Linked DNA regions of Oryctolagus cuniculus. The protein of the gene in region 1 binds, or shares a complex with, the protein of each later gene. Links are inferred from orthologs where the notes say so. Each region holds a gene or a part of one and is shown on either strand. Other genes may lie near its edges.

What was found.
Region 2: the proteins of UBE2D2 (region 1) and RNF25 are in contact, whole or in part, in a crystal structure (PDB 5D1K), measured with the Homo sapiens proteins. The link is inferred for Oryctolagus cuniculus from reciprocal best matches to the Homo sapiens genes UBE2D2 and RNF25. Residues at the interface, in NP_003330.1 of Homo sapiens: Leu3, Lys4, Arg5, His7, Lys8, Glu9, Leu10, Asn11, Asp12, Arg15, Ser22, Pro25, Gln34, Thr36, Val49, Phe51, Asp59, Pro61, Phe62, Lys63, Phe69, Thr70, Thr71, Arg72, Ser80, Asn81, Gly82, Gln92, Ser94, Pro95; in NP_071898.2 of Homo sapiens: Val136, Ile137, Cys138, Leu139, Tyr140, Cys161, Arg164, Tyr165, His168, Pro199, Val200, Arg202, Gln220, Met222, Glu223, Leu224, Tyr225, Gln226, Arg238, Leu241, Tyr242, Arg244, Gln245, Arg248, Gly249, Gly250, Ile251, Ile252, Leu254.

The regions. Positions count from the first base shown.
Region 1 is NC_091437.1:27,308,800-27,312,443, forward strand, and holds part of UBE2D2 (ubiquitin-conjugating enzyme E2 D2), read left to right. Parts: intron 1-2,014; coding exon 2,015-2,108; intron 2,109-3,568; coding exon 3,569-3,614; 3' UTR 3,615-3,644.
Region 2 is NC_091434.1:20,765,303-20,769,046, forward strand, and holds the start of RNF25 (E3 ubiquitin-protein ligase RNF25), read left to right. Parts: upstream 1-1,446; 5' UTR 1,447-1,619; coding exon 1,620-1,660; intron 1,661-3,744. Other genes in the region: STK36 (serine/threonine-protein kinase 36), read right to left, coding at 1-117, 688-771. UniProt on the Homo sapiens protein: E3 ubiquitin-protein ligase that plays a key role in the RNF14-RNF25 translation quality control pathway, a pathway that takes place when a ribosome has stalled during translation, and which promotes ubiquitination and degradation of translation factors on stalled ribosomes.

The sequences.
Region 1 (3,644 bases):
TGGCATAGCAAGTTAAAGCCCTGGCCTGTAATGCCAGCATCCCATATGGGCACCAGTTCAAGTCCCAGCTGTTCCACTACCAATCCAGTTCTCTGCTATGGTTTGTGAAAGCAGTAGGAGATGGCCCAGGTCCTTGGGCTCCTGCACCCGTGTGGGAGACCCAGAAGAAGCTCCTGGCTCCTGGCTCCTGGCTTCTGGCTTCATATCAGCCCAGCTCTGGCCATTGTGGCCATCTGGAGAATGAACCAGCAGATGGAAGACCTCTCTCTCTCTCTGCCTGCCTCTGCCTCTGCCTCTGCCTCTGCCTCTGCCTCTGCCTCTGCCTCTGCCTCTGCCTCTGCCTCTGCCTCTGCCTCTCTCCAACTCTGCCTTTCAAATAAATATTAAATAAATCTTTAAAAAAAAAGTTACAGAAAGGCTGAGGATGAGAGAGCGCGCGGGCAAGTGAGCTTCCATCCATTGGTCCACTCCCCCATCCCCACCCCCACCCCCTGCAAATGGCCTCAACCGCAGGAACTGGGCCAGTTGCAAGCCAGGAGCCTTGTGAGTACAGCGGCCCAAGGACTTGGCCATCCTCTGCTACTTTACCAAAGCCCATTAGCAGGGAGCTGTATTGGAAGAGGAGCAGCTGTGACTCAGAAAGGCACTCACGGAATGCAGGCACTACAGATGGCAGTGCTGGCTCCAGCACGGGCCTTTTTTGTTAAAATTTTTTTTTAATTTATTTATTTGAAAGAGTGACAGATCTTCCACCTGCTGGTTTACTCCCCAAATGCCCACAAAAGCCAGGGCTTGGCCAACTCCTTCAGGGTCTCCCACATAGGGGTGGCAGGGATCCAAGTACTTAGATCATCTGTTGCTGCCTTCCCAGGCATATTAGCAGGAATCTGTGTGGGAAGGGAGTAGCTGGGACTCAGACTGACACTGTGATATTTGATGGAGGCACCCCAAGTAGCGGCCTAATCTGCTGTATCACAGTGCCTGATCCAATGGCCTTTATGTTCTTGGCTTAGACTAAATTGTTTTCAACTGAAAACTAAGCAAATCTGTTGTATCTAAAAGTGCTACCTACCATACAGAAAACATTGTTGGATTTTGTGATTATCAGTTTTACCTAAGAGTATACAGTAGTGGGGCTAGATTTGTAATTTTGAAAGCCATTTTTCCCTGAACATGAGCTTCTAAAAATTGAGCTTTCAAAAGTGTTATTGGTTTAATATTTGGAAGACATTATAGTTACTAGTTAAGGACTTTGGACCAGTCACTTCTGTCTAGGCTGGCTTCCTTGGGAGTTTAGTCACACATTTCTTGTCTTTCTCTTTTCTAACTTCATAGAATATAAGACTTTGAACAAAGAGTCTTATATTCTTGTGTGAGTGACCAAGATGTCATTTATCATTTTTTTTTTTTTATTTATTTTTTTTTTTTTTGACAGGCAGAGTGGACAGTGAGAGAGAGAGACAGAGAGAAAGGTCTTCCTTTGCCGTTGGTTCACCCTCCAATGGCCGCCGCGGCCGGCGCGCTGCGGCCGGCGCACCGCGCTGATCCGATGGCAGGAGCCAGGAGCCAGGTGCTTTTCCTGGTCTCCCATGGGGTGCAGGGCCCAAGCACCTGGGCCATCCTCCACTGCACTCCCTGGCCACAGCAGAGGGCTGGCCTGGAAGAGGGGCAACCGGGACAGAATCCGGCGCCCCGACCGGGACTAGAACCCGGTGTGCCGGCGCCGCTAGGCGGAGGATTAGCCTAGTGAGCCGCGGCGCCGGCCTGTCATTTATCATTTACCATTAATTTTGTTCTTTTTGTTTTCATTTTTATTTTTAGGTGACAACTTGAAATCTGTATAAGATTTTAAATTCTTTGTTGACCACTGTTATACAAGCAAGGCAGAATTTATATAGCTGCTAGGCACTAAAGTATAGTAGGTTTTCAGAATTTTCTCAGGTGATGACTTCTCATGTTTCTCTCCACCCTTTGCTTTTATCCTCTACTAATGAATACATTTGTTTCATTCTAGTCCTCTTGTCCATCTGTTCTCTGTTGTGTGATCCCAATCCAGATGATCCTTTAGTGCCTGAGATTGCTCGGATCTACAAAACAGATAGAGAAAAGTAAGTATGGCCTCTAGACAGAAAGTGTACAAAGTGGGATTGAGATGTTTGTCTCAAATCTTTCTTACAAGATTCTTAAAATGAAGTCCTAATAAACTTCCCCACGGACAGGAAAAAGGAATATTTGCACAAGTATCTTTATCAGTGGATGATACTGTTTTTAATCTTGCTTTCATAAGGCTCCTACTATCTAGAAAAACTTTTTTACAGTGTATTCTCCAACAGCTTTATGTTGTATGTTTGGCTTTGGATACATGAAACATTTTGTGTCAAGTGCCCATTTTCTTATGTAGGTATTTGTAAATTAATGGGAAAAGGGAATTGATTTTCTACCATTTGGCATAATCTAAAGGAAAAAAGTAAGTAAATGCCATTAGACATGAAAGCCCACATTTCTTTTAAAAATAAAATGTGACAAACAATTTAGATGTTTTAGAGTCAGACTGAATTATTGAAGAGTGGTCTGGATATCAAAAGAGAGTAACTAAAAGTGTTCTAACCATTTTTGTTATGTATTATTCAGTGAGATTATAAGAAAAACTAGATGGGAGAGGCTGGTAGTTTTTTCTTTTCTTTTTTTTTTTTTTTTAGTTAAAAGAATAGAGAAGTACTTAAATTCTATTGGCTTAGAGAGAGACACCAGTAGGATTTTTCTTTAATGAAGCTACACTTGCAAACGGGGAACTCTAATAGCTATGGGTTCTTAGTTTTTGTTTGTTTTTCTGTATTATCTATTATCCTAATTTTTTCTCTGCCATGTGCTTATTTGGAATAAAATTGTATTATACTTTTTTCTATTTGTGGATTTATTCACAAATGTTTTTTGATTGGAGAACTGTAGTCCAGTGTCTAGAGCTGGGGACTTGAATGGCATTTCCTAATTAATTGTAATAATGTTCCGTAGAACTTTCCTGCATCTCTAAAAAGAGAGGAATTACGGAATGTTTTTCTTCATGTATTTTTCTACTCAAATGTTCTTCTGGAGCAAAATGCCTATTCATTTTGTCAAGCACAAATTGTTGAAATTAAGTTCTGCCAGAACCAGTGTTTTATTGATATAAAGCGAAGTATTACGTCCGTTGGCACATTATTAGTATATGATTTCAAGAACCATATAGTGTAGAATTACATATTTTCAAGAATCTCAAATAATCGAATCAAGAGTTGAACCTATTTCTTAGAAATACATCGATCAAATATATAATATGGTGTATGCCAGCAAATGCTAAAATTAATCAGAATCCTGTAAGTGGCATTTACAGCAAATTGTTTGCATTTTTTAGCTGTGTCCTATATTATTGAATAAGTGCTTATTAAAAATTTGGGATGTAAAAGTGGCTTTGCCTGAGTATTTTGTGGGTTATTCCCCTCACAATACTAGATAAGATAATGAATGAAACCTGTTGTGAACTAATTGACATCTCACTGTTGTTAAGCTAAGCTTCTCTTTGTGTGTACAGGTACAACAGAATAGCTCGGGAATGGACTCAGAAGTATGCGATGTAATTAACGAAATTATTGGATAACCTCTACAAA
Region 2 (3,744 bases), on another chromosome or scaffold:
GAGCATGTGCACAATGTTGGGGTGCCGCAGACCGCGCATGATTTCCATTTCTCGTTGCAGATTCTTCAGCTCCTTCTCTGAGCGCCCCAGTTTGGGGATGAACTTCAGGGCCACCACCTGTGAGTGGTAAAGTGACAAGTCAGGGCCTCCCCACGCCACTGAACAGAGCTACAATCTCAGCCTAACTTCAGAACTCCAGAACTCAGACTGCAGATCGTCTGAGTAACTCCATGACACCTGTTAGTCTCCTACCTCCACCTCCCCCACGGATGGCACCCTGGCCTTACCCAGGAGTCCCCCATCCTGGCCCAGGAGGATATATCCTCTGCTCAACAGATGCTTTGGTGGATTCTGGGAGAGGTGTTCCGAGTGCACCGAGTAAACAAATAAATACTATTTTTCGTCTTAATCATACTATGCAGGAAGGGAGAAACCACCTGCACTCTCTTCTTTCCTCTTCATTTTTCTTTCCTCCTTTCCCCCTCTATCTCATCTAAGTCTAGAAAGTAGTGGAGCTGGGATCTGAACCCCAGCAATCCACCTGCAGGGCTCATGCTCCCTAAGATGTAGGAAGGAGAGAGTCCCTTAAGAATACAGGTCGGTATAAATGCATGCCGCTGGCTCTGTTTTCCACTAGAGTTTGGGGTGCCGAATCCCACCCAAAAGACAGCCCTCTTCGTCCACCACCTGAGCACTGTATTTTTTTCGACCCTTGTACACTCTCCCAAAAGAGCCTTCTCCAATCATCTCCAACACGTGGTACTTTTCCATGACAGTGGCTGCAGAGTTTCTCAGAAGGAAGAAGTTAGAGGCGGTGGTTTCGAGCTACGGATCCAGGGACAGTTCGACACATCGGGGAGGCCTGGTTCGGGCAGGGGAGAAGAGGCAACATTAGCCGCCTTGCCTTTTCGCTTTCTCATAATAAAACAGGTCTTAGAAGCACAGGAAGGCAGAGCGGACCAAAAGACCACGAGCTCCTGGCACAACCGGAGCGTCTCCCTGGAGTTCCTTTTCTTCAGCGCCCTGCCGCCCACCCAACATCCCCTCTGCTTCTCACGCCCCCCAGCCTAGCCCACGCGACCCCGCCCCCCTCAAACCAGCCTCGCCCATCGACCCCGCCTTCCAGACTACCCCTGGTTCCCGCCACTCCCAACTTCCTCTGCACCCGCGCCCAGACCCTCGTCCACGCGCTTCGCTGGCGGGGGCCCGCCTCTCACCCCCAGCCGAGGAGCTCGAAGCTCCTCTGGCCGAGGGACGCCGGCGCTGGCCTTCAGCCCCGTCCCGTCTGGCTGCCTGCGTGCTGCGCCTGGCGGAGTTTGCCTCCACTCGCTCCCTAGTCCTGGTCTCTTTAGGCTTCCGTTCTCACCAATTTTACGCGCTAGAACCGGTCACAAGTTCCGAGGACAACGGCGCTCAGAGGTGGTGGGAGGGATGGTGGGCCGTCCATAGGCACCTCCTGGGACACTTCCGAACTGTCTCTCGGCCATCAGGTCCCACTAAGGACCCGGAGTCCGCGGTTGCCTAGAAACGGCCCCGGCTGGCGTCCCCCCGCCCCCGTGGTTTTCCGCCTCCGACTTCCCCAAGGGCACTTCCGGTTCCGGCCGCGGGCCGGAGGCGACATGGCGGCGTCAGCGTCGGCAGCTGCAGGGGAGGAGGACTGGTAACTTCGGGGGCATGGGCTTCGGTTGTCGGCCTGGCTCTGGCCGGGGGCACTCGGGGCGGCCGCAGACCCTCCGTGCGGCGGGCGTGTGGGGGTGGAGCAAGCGAGGAGGGTCGGCGGAGACGCTGACATCTCCTCCTAGGGTTGCTTCTGGACTTGGGCGCGGGAGGTGGAAGGGGCGCCGGTCTGCGAGGAGACAGCGCCGGCCCGGCCAGTTCGGGACGCACGTTCTCCGGTTGGATCCCCTCTGCTATGGCCTCACCCCATCCCGTCCTGTCCTCTGGAAGTGAATGTGCTCAGGGGCCCCGGCGATGCCTGCTCATCAGACCTCCCCACCTCGCCCACCCGGTGCCCTCCACCTTCTGGCCCCCTTGCCCCTTGGATCAGCCTCACTACCGCCCGCGCCTTCCTCAGCCTCCTCTCTCCCCAGCCGATCTAACGAGGGCTGTCCTGTGCGTGAAGCTTCACAACACAGAGAAAGCCCTCCTAGTTCTCTCGAGCATTCTTAACGAGAAGCCGGAACCTCCAAGGACTCTGGGACTTGGAAACAGGATAACGATGTGGGTTCACTCCACATATTAGCTGTGTGGTGCTAACCAGGCCATTTAGCCTCTGTGAGTCAGTGTCCTCAGCTGTTAAAAAAACAAAAAAAGTGGGTGTGGCAGCTGCATCATAGAATGGTTGAGATGATCAGGATGCATTTGTAATATACATAGCCATCTTTGCTTTAATAACTTTTTTAAAAAAGATTGATTTATTTGGAAGGCAGAGTTAGAGAGGCAGATTTTCCATCCACGGGTTTACTCCCCAAATGGCCACAACTGCCAGGGCTGGGCCGATATGAAGCCAGGAGCCCATAGCCTCTTCCGGATCTCCCACGTGGGTGCAGGGGCCCAAGGACTTGGACCATCTTCTGCTGCTCTCCCAGGCGCATTAGCAGGGAACTGGATCAGAAGTGGAGCCGCCGGGACTTGCAGTGGCTTTACCTACTATGCCACAGCGCTGACCCCATATCTCTTGAGATCTGGGCACCTGCAGAAACTAGATGAGCCCAGAAGTGAAGTGATTTGCCAGAAGATACAAAGCTGTGACTGGGAATCCGGGTCTGACTCCAGATCTTCTCATCTTCCCATTTTTTTTCTGTCATCACCTTACCACCATCCCAGCCAGTACCTCCATCCAGGACCCAAGTCGTAGCTTGGTAGGCAGAGTATTGAAGGGCCAGTCTTGACTGAGGCTGCACCTCACTGTACCCTGGTTCAGGGAGCCCAGCCAGTGCTGACCACCTAGATGAGTGGTTTTCAAACTGTTCGGGGGAGCTTGTAGAGACACCTTGAGCCATGGAGAGAGCCGCAGTGACTGTAGCCGATAGCCTGTTGTGGTCTGAGTCCTCCCCAGTCCTGTGTGAGCAACCACTCATTTGTTATCTGTGAGGTGTACAGCTTTGTGTTGTGAAGTTTCTGCCTAAAGCTTTTTATTAAAAAAAAAAAGAACCACTGATAACAACTCCTGCTAGAGGTGCTCCTGGTGGAGAGGGAGCAGCACAGGGAACTGAAGCACGCCTGCTTCTGTGTACGGTCAGCCTCCATGTCCGCAGGTTCCCCATCCACGGATTGAAGCAGCTGCACGCCGGAAGTATTGGGTGGGCTGGAGCGGGACCCTGTACTGACATGTATAAACTTTCTTGTCATTGTTCCCTAAGCAGTACAGTACAACAGTTCGCATATTACTTACATTGTCTTACAGTCTTATAAGTAGGCTAGAGATGATTTAAAGTATGTGGGAGGAGGTTCATAGGATGTATGCAAATACTGTGTCAATTTATACAAGGACTGGAGCATCTGCATTTGGTATCTGTAGAGGGTCATGGAACCAGTCTCCCACAGATACCAAGAGATGCTTATCACCCAGGTACTACTGTGGATAGCAACTAAACATTCGTCGCCAGTGTCATGACAACAGCTGCTTCTGTGTTTAAAACTGTGTGTCCTGTAATTTACACCAGGACCATGGGTCCTCACCTGGACAGGCTGATCTAGATCAACCAGCCAGCCAGGATCATAATTAGATCCGGAGTACTCTGC